Linked DNA regions of Cricetulus griseus. The protein of the gene in region 2 binds, or shares a complex with, the protein of the main gene of each other region. Links are inferred from orthologs where the notes say so. Each region holds a gene or a part of one and is shown on either strand. Other genes may lie near its edges.

Evidence for each region.
Region 1: the proteins of S100a10 (region 2) and Anxa2 are in contact, whole or in part, in a crystal structure (PDB 4FTG), measured with the Homo sapiens proteins. The link is inferred for Cricetulus griseus from reciprocal best matches to the Homo sapiens genes S100A10 and ANXA2. Residues at the interface, in NP_002957.1 of Homo sapiens: Phe39, Gly41, Phe42, Asn45, Gln46, Ala51, Lys54, Ile55, Leu79, Ala82, Cys83, Tyr86, Phe87, Met91; in NP_001002857.1 of Homo sapiens: Val4, Glu6, Ile7, Leu8, Lys10, Leu11, Ser12, Leu13.
Region 3: the proteins of S100a10 (region 2) and Hltf are in contact, whole or in part, in a crystal structure (PDB 4HRE), measured with the Homo sapiens proteins. The link is inferred for Cricetulus griseus from reciprocal best matches to the Homo sapiens genes S100A10 and HLTF. Residues at the interface, in NP_002957.1 of Homo sapiens: Phe42, Asp58, Leu59, Asp60, Gln61, Gln70, Ser74, Leu75, Ala77, Gly78, Leu79, Ile81, Ala82, Tyr86; in NP_001305864.1 of Homo sapiens: Thr32, Phe33, Phe34, Pro35, Phe37, Phe39.

Annotation. Positions count from the first base shown.
Region 1 is NC_048597.1:181,007,915-181,013,437, forward strand, and holds the start of Anxa2 (annexin A2), read left to right. Parts: upstream 1-2,235; 5' UTR 2,236-2,343; intron 2,344-5,523. UniProt on the Homo sapiens protein: Calcium-regulated membrane-binding protein whose affinity for calcium is greatly enhanced by anionic phospholipids. It binds two calcium ions with high affinity. May be involved in heat-stress response.
Region 2 is NW_023276806.1:62,480,185-62,485,492, reverse strand, and holds the start of S100a10 (protein S100-A10), read left to right. Parts: upstream 1-2,007; 5' UTR 2,008-2,105; coding exon 2,106-2,108; intron 2,109-3,542; exon of another isoform or gene 3,543-3,665; intron 3,666-3,763; coding exon 3,764-3,916; intron 3,917-5,308. UniProt on the Homo sapiens protein: Because S100A10 induces the dimerization of ANXA2/p36, it may function as a regulator of protein phosphorylation in that the ANXA2 monomer is the preferred target (in vitro) of tyrosine-specific kinase.
Region 3 is NW_023276806.1:127,935,203-127,940,597, reverse strand, and holds the start of Hltf (helicase-like transcription factor), read left to right. Parts: upstream 1-1,731; 5' UTR 1,732-1,911; coding exon 1,912-1,931; intron 1,932-3,298; coding exon 3,299-3,506; intron 3,507-5,395. UniProt on the Homo sapiens protein: Has both helicase and E3 ubiquitin ligase activities. Possesses intrinsic ATP-dependent nucleosome-remodeling activity; This activity may be required for transcriptional activation or repression of specific target promoters.

The DNA.
Region 1 (5,523 bases), on a different chromosome or scaffold from region 2:
GGATCTCTGTGAGTTCGAGGCCAGCCTGGTCTCCAGAGTGAGTGCCAGGATAGGCTCCAAAGCTACACAGAGAAACCCTGTCTCCAAAAACAAAAACAAACAAACAAACAAACAAAAAAAACCATAAAAAAGGCACTGGCTTGTTCTCCAGAGGAGTCAGGTTTGATTCTCAGCACCCACACAGTGGATCAAAACATCTATAATTCCACTTCCAGGGGATGTGAAACCCTCTTCTTGCCTCTAATGGCACCAGACAAGCATGTGATCTGCAGATATATATACGAAGCCAAAACACCCATACACATAAAATCAAAAGTTGAAATATGTTGAAATATGTTAAGACTCCAGAAAGACATGACATGGTCCCTCAGGGATTCACTCTAAGACTTCTTCAGTGTTTAACCCACGGCAGTCTGCCATGTGCAAAGTAGAGGGAGATGCTTCAAAGAAACAAATAAGACAATCTGTGGATGGAGATTCAGAAGTCCTTCATACTAGCAGAACCAGTCTCACATTCCTCAGAAATAGCCAAGTGTGACTTCTAACTGCCTCTTTTTTTGATTGAGGACACCGAAAAGTTGAACAGGATGTCAATGAAGCCTGGCCACATACATTAAGCTTTGCCAGATGTCCAGGATAAGCCAGAAATTCTTTTGGCTGTTCGGTGACTTTTATACATTTCGCATGATGTCAGCTAAGTGTCATTTCCGGTGGAGGACCTCCCACCCTCCCACACACAAGCAGGAGTATGTGGCCTGTGGGGCTGGGTGGAGAAATAACTCAGAGGCAGACAACTGCTTTTTGATACTGTGTGCCTGAATCTTCTTCTGTTCCAAGGCGTTCACACCCAGTGATAGATAAACATGGTTTTTGTCTTTAAAGCTGTCCATAATGAAGAGCTGTGAATGTAAATCAAACATTGTATCAAAAGTGATAATGTCCTTTTTTCTACTTGTTATTCTGCTGGGGCTCACATGTAACTTCTAGTGGCAAGGCTGGGCAACCTAGAGCCTGAGCTGGATGTTGGGACCCCAGTTGGGGCTGACTTCACAGCTAACTGGCTATGTGACAGTAAGCACAGTACTGAGCATCTCTTTCCCTGGCTATCCTGCTATCCTCGGAATGAACTGAGAGAGGAGTACAAAGTATAAACAGATGTTGTAGTCAGTTGGGAGCAGGGCTGAGAAGATAGCTCAGCTGGTAAAGAGCTTGTGGCCAAAGCAAAGGAACCTGAGTTCCATCCTCAATTCAGGCAGGTAAAATGGTTACTAACCAGCCAGTCTAAACCTAATTTGTGAGCTCCAGGCACCTTGTCTCAAATAACTCCTGAGGAACAGCGTCCCTGAGGCTGACATCTGGTTGGCTTCCACATGTGAACTACAGGCTCACACAAATAGATGGGAGAGATGATAAAGAACCATTAGGACCAGGAGAAAAGAGAGAGAGGTGAAATGTGCAGCTTAAAGACCCAGTGTGAAAGGTGTTCTGGATTCTTCTGTTAGCCTGAGGTTTGATGCAGTATGGGCAGTCACACACAGACATAGTTCACTCCTGCATTGTCCGTGTGACTGCCCCTGAAAATCAGGCTAGGAAAAAATGAAAAAATAAAATAAAACCCAGAGAAGCAATTGGTCAAGGGAATGAGAAAAACAAAACCCTAATAATCTACAATTAGGAAAGACGGTAGGAGGTCTTGTAGAGTGCTCTGAAGTGCTGCTGTCTGGGGGAAGGAGGCACCTGGGTGGGGGGGGGGTGCCTTACCTCTGAGTCTCCCTGACTGCTTGGAGGCCTTCATGCAGTTTCCTAGGCCCATTAGGCTCTCTAGGTCGTTTCAAATAAACCGCCCACCCCATGCTCCTCCATCTGGTGACCAGAGGTTAAACTAATATGTTTGCAGACGGTCATGGAGAGCTGGGTGCCAACAGCCTAACTCAGGGGAATCCAAGTATGTGTGTCTTGAAACAATTCTACCCTCCATTACCTCGACATCTAGAAGCCTATAAACAAAAGAAGAAGTGGATTGGGCAAGCCAGTCTGCTGAAATCTTAACAGCCGAGGGCCAGGCTGACCACTGGGCCCAATACCCTAGGAGTAAGGGGGGTAGGGAGGTGGAGGCTTGATGGGCCTGGGAAGGTGGTGAGGCTGTCACGTAGGGCAGGGCCGGGACTGGGCGGCGTTCCAGAGAGGGTGAGTCACCCGGAGCAGGGTGGGCACAGGCCGGGGAGGGGAGGGGAGGCGTGGCGGCTTTACGCAGGGAGGATGGGGCGGGTATAAAAGCCCCACCCAGCCCAGCCGGGCCGCTCGGCTTCTGGGGAGGCTTTCAGCGCTAGGCGCCCGGCCCAGGTAAGTGGGGCGCGGCCCGGTCATCCGCTATGGCCTCGGGGTTTCGGTGTTGAACCGGGAGCGGGCAGGCTCCGACGACGGGGACCCTGGGAGGCACCAAGAAGGATCCATCCCCTTGGGCGATCTACGCGTCCTGCCACAGAGTTGCAAAGTGTCCCGTGTGGGGTCGTGACACGTCTCTTTGCATACCACGCCTGGGGGGGGTGCAGGGCAGAGGTGGAGGAGACTGTGCTTCCCCTTGAGGTCCCCTGAGAAGCAGGGAGACCCTGTGTGGGGCGGGGAACCGAGGGGCTCGGCATTCCAGAGGTGCTAGGTGCCAACGGGGGACTGGGTGTGGCCGCTGGGGAGCCTGCAGCCCAACAGTGAGACATCTGTGGACTTTTCCCCTCCGCCTTCCGAACTGCGTCGTCCTCTCACTCTGAACCATAACTCCTGCAATTTCAGGTGTATTTCTTTGCTACTGACAAACGTAAATTTGTGAAGTCGGCGCGGGGAACCGGGCGAGGGCGGGGGCGGCGGCACCAGAACTTCAAGTCTTGAGTTCTTGGTGCCCTCCTTTACACAAAACAATCTCAGCTCAGTCTTTGTCGCGAACTCTAGATTGTTTGGTAGGACAGCGACCTCAGACCCTATTCTTTCTGAGGAGTTTGCCGCCCTGGAACGTGTGCAGAAAGAAGTATCCCCGGGTGGTTCAGTAGAGAAAGTTGCCTTGACTGCACTGAAGCCACCATGAGTCAATTGACAGAGTCTATAGAAAAGGGCGTGGCTCCTGAGCCCCAGGTTCCAATGCTGGCATGGAGGGCTGTGGCTCCAGAAGTTTCTTTATCTATAAAAGTGGTTTCCGAACCCTTGTTCTTAGCTCCACCCACACTGAGTTATTGAAGATTTCCGAAAACAAGTTCATTCAAAAATAGATAAGTAAAGCACACTGAAAACACAGCGTTGTACAAATATAAAAGAAAACAAAAAGCTGTTACTTGAGACATAGCGGTAATCTCAAAACTCGGAAGACCGAGGCAGCAAGATCCTGAGTTTGAATCCAGCCTGAGCTACAAAGTGAGACACCATCCTCCCCCTGACCCCCGTCTCAAAAAACAAACAAACAAAACGGAGAGCTGATCTAGCTCATTGGTAGAGTACCCCACTAAGACACACAAGATCCAGGCTTTTATTCCCAGAACCAGAATAACCAGAAAGTTATTCATTTGTGTAGTAATTTGCCATATTCAGTCCCAGCCCTTAACAACAACCATAAACTCTTGGAATCCAAGGTCCTCAGCCTTTAACATACAGGGGTATTATCAGATGAGTCTGCAACTTGGACTGGGAAGCCACTTCCCGGCTCTCCCCCAGGAACACTATAGAAGGAGTTTGGAAACCCATGCTAGCACACTCCCCCACCCCAATTAATTAATTTGCACTGTATCTGAGTGCTGCCTAATGGCAAGGAGCAGGATACAAGATGGGAGGGCGAGGGGTGGTCCATGGGTAGGAATAATAAATCACTGATGCGGTTTTCAGGGTTTTCTCCGTTTAGTTTTAAATATAGATTTGATTAAATCGTGTTAATTGAAAACTTGTGTCTTTGCCCCCTTCTCTGGTTTCTTTTTCCTGCTTCCCTGCCACCTTCTTGCGGTCTGTGTCCCTTGATGTGTTACGTTGGCTTTGGACACTTGAGCGGCCCCTCCTCCACACCCACTTCCTCTTCATTTCAGTGTGTGCTGCGCCCAGCCAAAGCCTGTGGGTCTGAGTCAGGGAACCTGAAGATGGCAGATGAGATCAGGGCAGAGCCCCGTCCTCTTCCACTGAGTCCACTGCTCACCTTAGATCCCGGGGTTTCTTTAGAAGAGCCCGTCGCCTCTGCTGCAGCAGGGGCAACCTCCTAGGTGCGCACCTTTCTGTTGAGGGTTTCCTGTTTGGTGTGGTAGAGAGAGAAGTTCAGGAAGTTTTGCTAACTAGCCAGGCAGCACTTAAGGCTTTGACTGAGAGCTTGGGTTTGGACTGGTGCCTCTCAATGTTTCACATCCTGTGTCTTTGAGTTATTAAAATACCCTATTGATTGGCATTACACATGCAGTCTTGGCCACTGGCTTCCTGACTAAGTTCCGATTTAAGTAGTTTTCCTGGCAAGACAGGCACTCTCCTAAATTGCTATTGATTTTTGAGAACTCTCATCTCTCTCTGCACCTTTGGGCCTGCATTAATGTGTGTGAGGGTTGATGGGAACTTTGGCTCTAATTCTTGGCTTGTGCTGGGTGCCAGACCTGTTTCATCTGGGGAGAGTGGGTGTGTTACAAAAGGAGTCCCAGGCACTGTGGGCTGCTTTCAGCATCCATTTGTCTTACAAACTGTCTTTTACGTACCCACTGTGTCCCAATCACAGTTATGGTACTGAGGATACAGTAGTAGACTAGACACACATGCATGCATATTCGTTCACTGTGTGCTTGTACATACAAACACAGCCCTTGCCTTTCAGATTTTGAATCTTTTAGGGAAAGAAAAAAAAAGAAAAGATACGTGTGTTAATTGTAGAGATAGCAATTTGATTTGACATTTTGTATTTTCCTAAACTAATATTTACTCACAAAACCAGCTGGGTCTCCATTCCCAGCTTCTATACAGTTGTTTCACAGACCTAGACATGGAGCTGAGCTTATCCCAAAGAGGTGTCTAAATAAACTGGATTTAACCTGTTCTTCACAATCAACTGGGAGACTTGAGTAGAAGTTGGCTGTTCTCTTTTTCTGCACCTACAAATAACCACCCCCCCCAAGCCACACCCTTCTCTAGCTGTGGGCCTGCCATCCAGAGAGGAAATTCCAGTCCTTAACAGAAATTCTTTCCACCCATTCACAGTCTGGCATGTTTTTTCTTTTGTTACCAGAGGCAGTCCCCATCCGTGTTGTTGCGGGGACTTATGATTCTGGGTGGTTCCATTGATATGATTTCCAGATGTTCCCATTAGGGAGCACATTGACCCTCTTAAATCATCTGAGCGCAGGTCTTTGTAGGGTACTCATCTGCAGCACCCAAGAGGTCTGAGTTTAAAATCAGACCAGACAACTCTGACCACAAGGAGTGGCCATGACATGGAACCATTTGTATATGCCCTTTGTCTCCTGGTCACACCCAGAGGACACTCACAGCTCAGAGGAATTACATGACTACGTGGTTCTT
Region 2 (5,308 bases):
CTGGGAATTGAATTCAGGACCTCTGGAAGAGCAGCCAGTCAGTGCTCTTAACCACTGAGCCATTTCTCTAGTCCCCAGTAAACAAGTTTCATTTGGTGAGAGAGCCTGAGTCAAAATCCATTATTTTAAACTCACTCCTCCTCCAAATATACTTTAAGGGTCAGATTCAAGAGCATCCTCTGGGTTCAATTAAAAAAGGAAAGAAAGAAAGGATTCTTCAAATTCCCCCAAACAAAAGAACAGAAACTCAAATGTTTTTAAATAATGAATGTTTGTGTTCACCCTAATTAATTCTGGTTGGCTTCAAGAACAGTACGATATGGACAAAATACAGATGAACAAAGTAAATCAGACCTCCAGCTTCTGAGATTTATAGCCTTGACCTGGGCATAGGTCCAGGACAGACATTTGGAATTGCTCAGGAAGAGGGACTCCTTCCTGCCTTCTGCCCCTCCCAGAAAGACCAATGGACAGAATGAGAATATTGTTGGTACTAAACCTCATAAGTGAGGTGTATAAGGTGTAAGAGAAACAAAACCAGAATTGCTTTCTGCAGAGAGGGACAGTTGAGACCCATTGCTCAAGTTAACATGTGAAGGGCATAAACACATCAGAATAAAATAGTTCAAGGAGAGGTGAGTGGGCCCAGAGGTCTGTCCTGGGAGCCAGTGAGGCAGTGGAAGGAGAGAGGAATGAAAACAAGAGAAAGAGCAGGAGTGAGAAGCATGGCCGTCAGACCAGACTTGCTTAGCAGGACACACATTTTTTTCCTTTGTGTTTGGAATGTGCTCTCTGTACCCTGCCATGCCATTCATAGGTGAACCCTGTTGAGGCCCCTTTCCCTGCCCTTCCCAGAACTCATCTCCTCTAACTGCTGAACTCTGAGCTGCAAAGCCATCAGCTGTCTAAGGATAGTCTTATCTGTATCTCAGCTACTTTGAGCCATCCATTTAGCAAATGGTATTTAGTCATCTCTCAACTGAAGCAGAGTCATATGTGGTTCTGGACTAAGGCAGCTGTAGGGCCAAGGCAGATTGGGTCTCGAACTGTATCTGATTGTGTATACCAGGTATGGAATGGGGTGTCAGCAACACTGAACAGAGCCCCCTACTTCTCAGACCAAGTCCCAAGGCCCTTGTGACAAAGTATTACCCAACTAGAAGGGGAAGACCCAACCCATCTGGAGTGGAGTTTGTGGGGTGTTAGGTGGAGTGCAGGTGCCAGATTCAGGTTCCTGAAAAGCTTGCACTCTAGTAAATGATTATGGAACTGTCTGTAGTGAGCGTTGTAATAACAGCCCCACCCAAACAGTGGAGGCTAGGCTGGGACCACTTCACCGGAGAAGTACTGAGTGGTTCAGTCATCCAACAGAGCCTCATTATCACGTTTTCCTTTGTCTTCCTTTTTTGATTTGTTATTTTGATTCTTGAGACAGAGTCTATACAGCCTAGACTGGCCTAGAAGGCTATTTTTTCCTGCCTCAGCCCCATTGCACCTCTGAGTGCTAGGTTCATAGTTCTTGGGACTTCCCCTACCTTACCTGGATCCTTGGCCTTACTTTAAAACTTTCTCCAGCACAATTCCTTGTTCTGGAACCAAGGGCATCCCCTGTGAAATTCAACTATTTTCCTTTTCTGGCCAGCCCCTATCTCTTGTGTTCTTATTGAAGTTCTCTTGAACAAGCAGAGAGCCAGTTAGCTGCTCTATTCACCTGTGTGGAACAAAACAGCTAGGGCAGGCAAGCAGGAAGGACAAAAGGGCAGACACGGGCTTCAGGAAGGGACTCTGCCACTTCATAACCAGCTGGGTAAGGAAGGAAGGAGTGGATTGACCTCAGACCTGAGAACCAGTTCTTGGCTAAGGCAACCTGACCTCACCCTCCTGAAGAGGACATTCAAGCGAGGCCAGGACTTCCTTGGCTATCAACTTGCATTTCCAGAGAGTACTAAGATGACTGTTTTTCTATTTGGGGGATCCCTATCCTGGCCATTCCTCTTCCTTCTCTAGCTCTGCAATACACTTTCCTGATGTCTGTGAGGAAAGTACAATGGGTGTCCACGCAGTTCTAACATCTGGGATGTCATCTGGAATCTTCGCCTTCAGACATGGTAGGAGAGCTCTCTGGCTCTGAATGAGGACATAGACATTTTAAACTTCACTGGTGTCTGGCTCCTTTCCTGGATTGTTAAAGGGCTGAGGTGGCACCCCACATCCTTCTTTAGGTGGCTTACTCAGTTCAGTTCAATTCCTGCACTTTCAAATCAATCCAAGCAAGGCAGACTTCCACTAAGCTCTCTGCCACCGCCAAAAACCCATATCTAGGAGTGGGGAGGTGGGGCGGATCTGAGCAGTACAGGACGAGAGGGAAAAAGGAGTGGCTCTTCTGAATTTCATGGCATTAGACACCTTGAATTGTAAACTTGTTGCTATCCAAGTCATGCAGATGAATCATGCCGGATCCTGATTGACAGTGTTCTCAGAAGTGGCATTTTCTGTAGCTGGTTCTTCTACCTTCTTGGAGACGAAGAGGAACAAGTTACAACCTTTAAATCTAACTTTTCAGTGCTAGCCTTCAGCACTACACCTTTGACTCTGTAAAAGATAATACTTAGAAGCCAGGCCTAGTGGTTCAGACCTGCAATACCAGCTACTCACGAGGCAGAAACAGGAGGATCTTGAGTTAAAGCCATCCTAGGCAACTTAGTGAGACTGTCTCAAAATAGAAAGTGAAAAGAGAGCTGGGGGATGTAGTTCAGTGATAGGAGATGGGCACAGGTGAGTGAGGTTCTAGGTTTCAGTGTGTGTCGGGGTGGGTTTCAGAACTTGGGGATCTGTACTGAACAAGCATCTGTCAGCATCAGGAATCAGACCAAAGCACACCCCGAATTCCCATCATTGCTCTTCAGTGGGGGAAGGAGCCAATCTCTCCCTCCTTCTGTACTCAAAACTATATGTGGACACTGAGCTCCATTAGGCATGGGGTCTTGATGAAACATTTGTCCCAGTTCATTATACCAGCATGCGGTGACCTAAAATTCCTTTCCTCTCTTTAAACTCCTCATCAGGAAAGACCCTTACTCTCTCACTGTACCCCCAATTTATGAGGAAAACGCTCTGTATAGTCCTACCAGAAACATATTCAGCACCCAAAGGAGCTTGTGTACCCTCTTACCTATTCCTTCCCTGCTGAACTTGAAAATGAATGTATGAAGCTTACTCAGGCAGAGCAGCTGCACTGACTGCCAGAGAACAAGTTCAGATCGTTAGGAGAGTATACATTTCCAGCAGACATGTCCATCTGTAAGTACATTTCTAATCTCTGAAATTGTATTGGTTCAGGCTCCTGTGGCATGGGTGGCGGGATGAAGTTTCTGTATTAACCAGGCTGGACTCGTGGCTTGTTGGGGTTCAGCCATTTCTAAGAGTCACATTTTCAGTGCCAGGGGAAATATGGAAACATCATCTTTCATCCAGTGCTTTCCAGTAAAGGAGCAGCTCTTGTCTTGCTTTTCTAGAAAGTTAGGCCTTCTTATCTTGATTAGGAACCGAGAAAAGAAGCTGACAGTCAGGCAAATCCCACATTCTGAGGTCCAGCACCTGAAGTGTCTTGCCACCAGCAAAAGACCCCAAATAGGACCTGAGATTGATTGAATTTTATTGGAAAGGTGATTAGACCTATTTTATCCTTTCCGACCACCCTCTACAGACTTCCAGCATGTGGTTTAAAGGTTAAGGCAAACTCTTTCTTTGTGTCCATTAACAGGTTTCAACAGACCTCTTCAAGATGCCGTCTCAGATGGAGCATGCCATGGAAACCATGATGCTTACATTTCACAGATTTGCGGGCGATAAAGACTACTTAACAAAGGAGGACCTCAGAGTGCTCATGGAAAGGGAGTTCCCTGGGTTTTTGGAAGTAAGTGTGGAAAGTCTCAGACCAGACATAAAAATCCAAGGTCCCTTCCCTTGTCCTTCCATTGTCTCCATCCCTGTAGGCTCACCACTTGGAAGTGTTTCATTCATTTACTTAGTAGACAGTGCTAGGATAGCACAGGGGCAGCAAAGTGGAAAAGGCCCCACCCCTGTGCTCTGATTGCAGATGAAAATATCCACACCCACTGGAACAACAAGAGGGAAAAGACTTTTCACAAGGGTGTCATGGATCAAGGTGCCACACCTCAGGTCCCTAACACTAATGACAGTGGTTTCACATTCTTGTCATATGCCACTTGAACAACTTGAATCTCCTTTGTGTGTGGGTGTGAGCTTTGTGTTGACCCTGGAGCCCCATTCATGCAAAGCCAGGGCTCTACTGGGAAACTTCCCTCTACTCAATCTACTCAAATCTTCTTAAAATCCCTATTTATAGAAAGACTTTTCTTCTTTTTCCAGCTCTAACCCATAAAGAGATCTTTTTTGTTTGTTTGTTTGTTTTGTTTTTTGAGACAGGGTTTCTCTGTGGCTTTGGAGGCTGTCCTGGAACTAGCTCTTGTAGACCAGGCTGGTCTCGAACTCACAGAGATCTTCCTGTGTCTGCCTCCCGAGTGCTGGGATTAAAGGTGTGTGCTACCAATGCTCACATAAAGAGATCTTGTTAATTGTTGGCTGAATCAGGGCAAAATGTCACTCCAGATAATTGATTTTTACAATGAAAATGTCAACTTAGGAGCCTAGAAGTATAGTCTAGGTTTTACCTCCCTTTGATCACACTGAACAACCCCTGAAGACTAGGACTCCTCAGATATGCCACTCAAGACAATAGTCAGCTAGGCATGGTTGTCTTTTGACTTTGTGGGTCCTCAAGAGACAGTTGTTGAATTTAATGCTCACCCAAGACAAAGCATAGCTTGATATAATAGCAGACTGTGGTATGATCCCTTCTTTTCCTGGAAAGAAAGGATGGTTCTTGTACTGGGTGTTCAATAATGCATTAGTTTCTGAAAGGTAAAGGTAAAAGGCTGGATCTAGCCTCTTGACATTTACCTGATAAATATCACGTTATCTAAGGTCCTGGCCCTTACACTAATAAACACGGGGCTTTGGAGAAGATTGCTTTTACATATTGTCAATATCAGTTAAATAAATGGCCTGGCCCCTCCCTTCAATCACCCAAATGCTATCTCAGTGAGCTGGAGTGTACAGTTCCTCTGCTGGCATAAGGCACTGTGATGCAGTCCCAGACAAGGGCTCAGAAGATCTAGCTGTGGGCTAACAATAGGGGCTAACAACTACAGAGTCCTGGTTCCCTCCTCTCCAAATTGAGAGCACTGAACACAATTATCTGCATGCTCACTTTTAACTTGCTATG
Region 3 (5,395 bases), about 65 Mb from region 2:
GCTAACTTCTGATTGGTTCCTTGCCACAGGGCAGGCATCTGACCTCCTAGTGACCAAGGCATTTGGGGTGATCTAAATCTCTGTTCCCAGGCCATGCTTACTGATATTTGCCTTCCAAGCCTGTTAAAGTGAATTGTTTTTTGTCTGTTGTTCTTTTTTGTTGTTGTTGTTGACATTAGTATTTCCCACAATGTCATGCCAGTGGTCCACTTGAAATACTCTCATTTCACTTAAATAATGCACAGATCATCATTTTGTAAGACAACGAACACACACAAGCCACCTACCTTTCATACTATGCCAACAGAATCACAAAATGAACTACTCTTGGAAGGTTGGCTGTCAGTGTTTAAAACATTCACAAACACATCTAGCAATTCTGATGGTTTACAGCACACCATATTATGTTTGTTTGGCTCAGCACCACCACTAGCTTCCTATTTTAGGTGCAGGTGAAGCGGCAACAGTTAAAAGACTACTTCAGTAGTATTTTTGTGGTCTTTCACATGAAGGGACCAGCTTCCCTTTTGGCAGCCATAATGACCTTGTCCCAGACACTAGAAAGTCAGATGCCTGCCTCGTGACAAGGAACCAATCAGAAATTAGCTGGTGGCGCTATGCTTTACGACCCTGGGTGTGCTTTACAGACAAGCGCACAGCAATGACTTGGAGAGCATAGCAACCACCCTGGGAGGGCCTATGGGCCATAACAACCAGTTGACCAATCAACACAGGGCAAGCCCTCCAAGCCTGGAGGCACACCAATCCTGAGTCTGTGCGTACCCCTAGACACTCCCCTTCCGCTGTCCTATAAGATCTCTTGGGAGGCCCTAGGAGCGTCTTTTGCTAGCCATCCGCCATGGCGGGTGGGTGAAAGACCCGAGCTAACATGGGGTTAGCTTGTTAAATTACAATAAAGCCTCGTGCAGTTTGCAGCAAGCTCTGGAATCTGCCTGGTGATTGGGGTGACCGCGAATGTGGCCTAGGACCCCAGATACTTGAGTTTTCGGGGGTCTAACACACGGTACAGGAACCACCTCTACCTTGGCTGTTACTGATGCACACACAACCCTAAGGCCGAATTTCCCTTTATAAAGTTTTTCTTACAGTGTCTCCTTCAATTTCCCGAGAAAAAACGCAAGTGGCCACAGCTGCCACCTCACCTTACACCAGTGCTGGACCAGTCTCAGCAATAGAGTTGTAAGACTGTCCTATTTTATGGCTTTCTTCTACTAAGTGATGAAAATGTCTTTAAACACTAGAAAATAAGGTGAGAAAGGGAAATTGTGTTCTTCCTCAGATTTCTAGGACTCAGGGTCTCCACACACCGAGGTTCCTAATTACAAACATAGGGCATCTCAGAGGAAATGAGCTCCTCCTTCTAGGGGAGGCCCTTTAGGCATTATCTCAGATAGGGTGGGCGAAGGAGGCTCAGACCTCAGGGGACAGACAGCCTTATGGTTTTGGGCAGTGGCAGGAAGAAATCTTTCCTCTGCAGCGGGCAGGGAACCTTTAGCCAAGTGGCTCACTTGAAAGACCTCGAGGTTTTCCCGCGCAACCGCCCTCGGGGCGCGGAAGAACCCGGATGGAACCTCCCCAACACTCCACTGCCTTTGAATCGCTGCATGGGGCGGAGCTCCCCACCCTCTAGCACCCTGATTGGTTGGTATTTAGAGATTCTTCATTCCGATTGGACAATCTCAGTGCCGATCACAAAACGTCACTGGCCTCTCAGACTGTTGCTGAAGTAGTGGGAGTCGGCTTCTAAATAAACCCGCGTCTGGAGCGTCGCTTCTTCGCGGTTCGCATCTGGTTCCCGGTCCCTGGGCCGCGAGACCCTGAGGGACTTTTTCAGGCGGCCTGAGAAAGTCCGGGCGCCCAGGGCATCCCGAGGTCACCCCGCCCGGCGCCATGTCCTGGATGTTCAAGAGGTGAAGGGCTGAGGGGGTGGGGCGTGCGGCCCGGGGCCCCGCGCCGTCTTCAGTGAACCCGCTCCCGGCGGGCGGACGATAGATAGATAGATAGATAAGATAGGTGCGGCTTGGATGCCCTCCCCGGGTCGCTTGCACGTGTGGCTTGCGCAAAGCGTTGTCTCGGCTGACCCGAGAATCTGCTGCCAGCACCTCGGGAGGTCTCCATCACCGGTTGTGGGGGTCCAAAGCTCCACCCGAAGAGCTTTATTCATCAGAACACCTATTGGCTACCCACTGTGCTCTAGGCATTGTTGTCTCGCCATACGCTAGGAATTGTTACCGTGACAGCTCCGAGACAGCCCGACACCCAGTGTCTCACAGTAGTGAGCAGGAGCCTGTGCTTGCAGAGGAGAGCTGAAGCGGGGACTCCCAAAGGATAGCCCCGTGTGCTTTTAGGGGAAAGACAACTTGTAGAAGGCTTCCAGCAAACATCACTTGATCACCTGCAGCGGTTTTTATGCCCACTCCTGTAATAATGATCCTTAAGATTGGTTACCTTTAAAATAACAGGGTGATGGATAGATAGGTAAGGGGGCCTGCAGGTCAGCTTCCTATGATGTCATAGTTTAGATAGCTGTTCTGCAGGAGTTAAAGCTGTGAATGCTTTATGTCGAAGGCTAAAGATATTTTCATAGCCAGACGATGGGGCGCACGACCTTAATCCCACCTCTCAGAAGGCAGAGGCAAGCAGATCTCTTGAGTTCAAGGCCAGCTTGGTCTACAGAGTGAGTTTCTAGGTGAGCCAGGGCTACACAGAAACCCTGTCTCGAAAAAAACAAAAAGAAAAAAAAAAACATATACAATGGTAATTTTGTTTTTATAAATCTCTTCTTCATTAGTTGGCATTGAAGATTTTGACATTTTAATGTAAATAGATTTCCGCAGGAAAGAATTTCCAGTATTTAACAGGTCAGATTTGGTAGCTTTACCTACTCGGCTCTTGCTTTAGCCAGGGTAATTGTTAAGTGGTATTTGCCACATAACATTTCACTTGCTAAAATAAAATGTAAGGAAGTGATTGGCCTGAAAATACTGTTTGACTGTGTTCTTTGAGAAATACTTGGTTAAGTTCTGTTTTTTTTTGTTTGTTTGTTTGTTTGTTTGTTTTTGGTTTTCGAGACAGGGTTTCTCTGTGTAGCTTTGGAGCCTATCCTGGTACTCGAGCTGGAGACCAGGCTGGCCTGGAACTCACAGAGATCCGCCTGTCTCTGTCTCCCAAGTGCTGGGATTAAAGGCGTGTGCCACTAACTCCCCGAAAGTTCTATTGTTTTAATGTATGCTTTGTTTTTGTTTTTGTTTTGTGTTTTTTTTTTTTTTTTTAATAGGGATCCTGTTTGGAAGTATTTGCAGTCTGTCCAATATGGAGCCCATGGAAATTTTCCAAGACTTTCATACCCAACTTTCTTTCCACGTTTTGAGTTCCAAGACGTTATCCCTCCAGATGACTTCCTAACTAGTGATGAAGAGCTGGATCCCATTTTATTTGGAACTTTGAGAGGTCAAGTTGTTGGACTGCGCTATTACACAGGAGTAGTGAGTATAAGAGTAGATACTAAATAAAATTGTTGTATGCATATGGTTTTAACCGTAAATTATATTAAATGGTGACATATTATGTATACATATATACAATTAATGTTTTACTTTGAGTGACTGAAATATGTCACTCAAAGGCTTGTTCTAAATACCTTTACCATCTTTGATTAATTTTGTACATTTGTACCATGCTTACAGTATATAAAGCACTTTTGCCCATACTGACATTTGATTCTTGTAATTACTGAGGTTCTCTTCCTTAATGGAAGGTAGAGATGTAGATGGTTAAATGATTTGTCCCAATGAAGAAAATATATGCTGAATTTAGGAAGCAACTTCGAATCTATCAATTTTTATTAGATAAGTTATTTACTTTTGAGTTCTTTATTTTTGCAATAGAATAGCTCCTGCTCTTTCTTCGATTTATTCCTGTTCTCTAATTGATTGTGTGTGTGTGTGCTCGTGAGAAAAAGAGGACAGATTGAGAGTATATATATATGTGTGTGTATGTATTATATATATATAATTTTGTGCACTGTAATCTTCATTATGGCCATCTTTGTTATTTGGGTAATACTTCTAATATCCAGTTTATCATGAGAAAATTTCAAACATAAAATTAGAGTAAGTCAGAGGTTATCAAGTATTTTCTATATTTGTTTTATTCTTTTTTCTTTATCTTTGTAAAAACAAATACTAAATTTTATATTAGTATAGTTCAGTATATATTTCTTTAAAATTCAGTTTGTGGGCTGAAGAGATGACTCAGCAGTTAAGAACATTTGGCTGCTTTTGCAGAGGACTGGAGTTCTGTTCACTCATGGCTGGCCACTGACTACTCCCTTTACAGTTCCAGAGGTCCTGTGCCCTCTTCTGGCATACATGGGTACTCATACATACCCCCATATAGAATACATAAGTATACATGATTAAAAATAAAATACATCTTAGTTTTTATGTTTCATTTTCATAGCAATCAATAATTGGATTCTGTTGATTATTAAAACTGTATTTTTATCAGGCTCAAAACAGGGTTAATATATTATCTTTGGCTGTTATGGGCTGTAAGGTCCACTCTTGTTTCCTGTTACATATTTGTGTGTCAAAAACAAGGTCTGTTTTTCGGAATCTTGTTGATTTTGTTACTTTTCCCCTTCCCTTGTATCTTTATGATAAAGCTTGTTAAATGGTTTCTTGTTGTTCTTGGGGGAAGGGGTTTGACTCTACAGCCTAACCTGGCAAGCACTAAGTAGTCCAGGTTGACCTTGAACTCATAGTGAGCTCACAGTGGTCCACTTGTCTCAGCCCTCTGAGTACTTGATGGTTTCAGAACTTTTTTTTTTTTAAGATTTATTTATTATTTATACAGTGTTCAGCCTGCACCCCAGAAGAGAGCACCAGATCTCATTATAGGTGGTTGTGAGCCACCATGTGGTTGCTGGGAATTGAACTCAGGACCTCTGGAAGAGCAGCCAGTGCTCTTAACCTCTGAGCCATCTCTCCAGCCCCCAGAACTTTTTTTTTTTTTAATTGAAGTAAGTTATCAGGAGATACTTTGTGGGAATTCTGTGTTTCCCATTTGTCTTGTTTTTCATTCTCTGTATTTTTTATGTTGAAACATCTCGTATTGTTTAGTAGTTATATAAGATGTCCCATCTAGGAGATTACTTAGGAAAGAACAATTTCTTGAGTTTTTATAAATTCATAATTTTCATTTTCTACTTGAGAGTTTGGCTAAACATAAAATGTATGATCCATGTTTTTTCCCTGTATCCTAATGCTGCACAGGATATTGTTAGTGAAACTTGATGCAGCAGGATTTTCTTCCCCACTTAACTGAATTGGAAAATTGGAATTTCTTTTTGCCTGATGATTAAAAGATATTC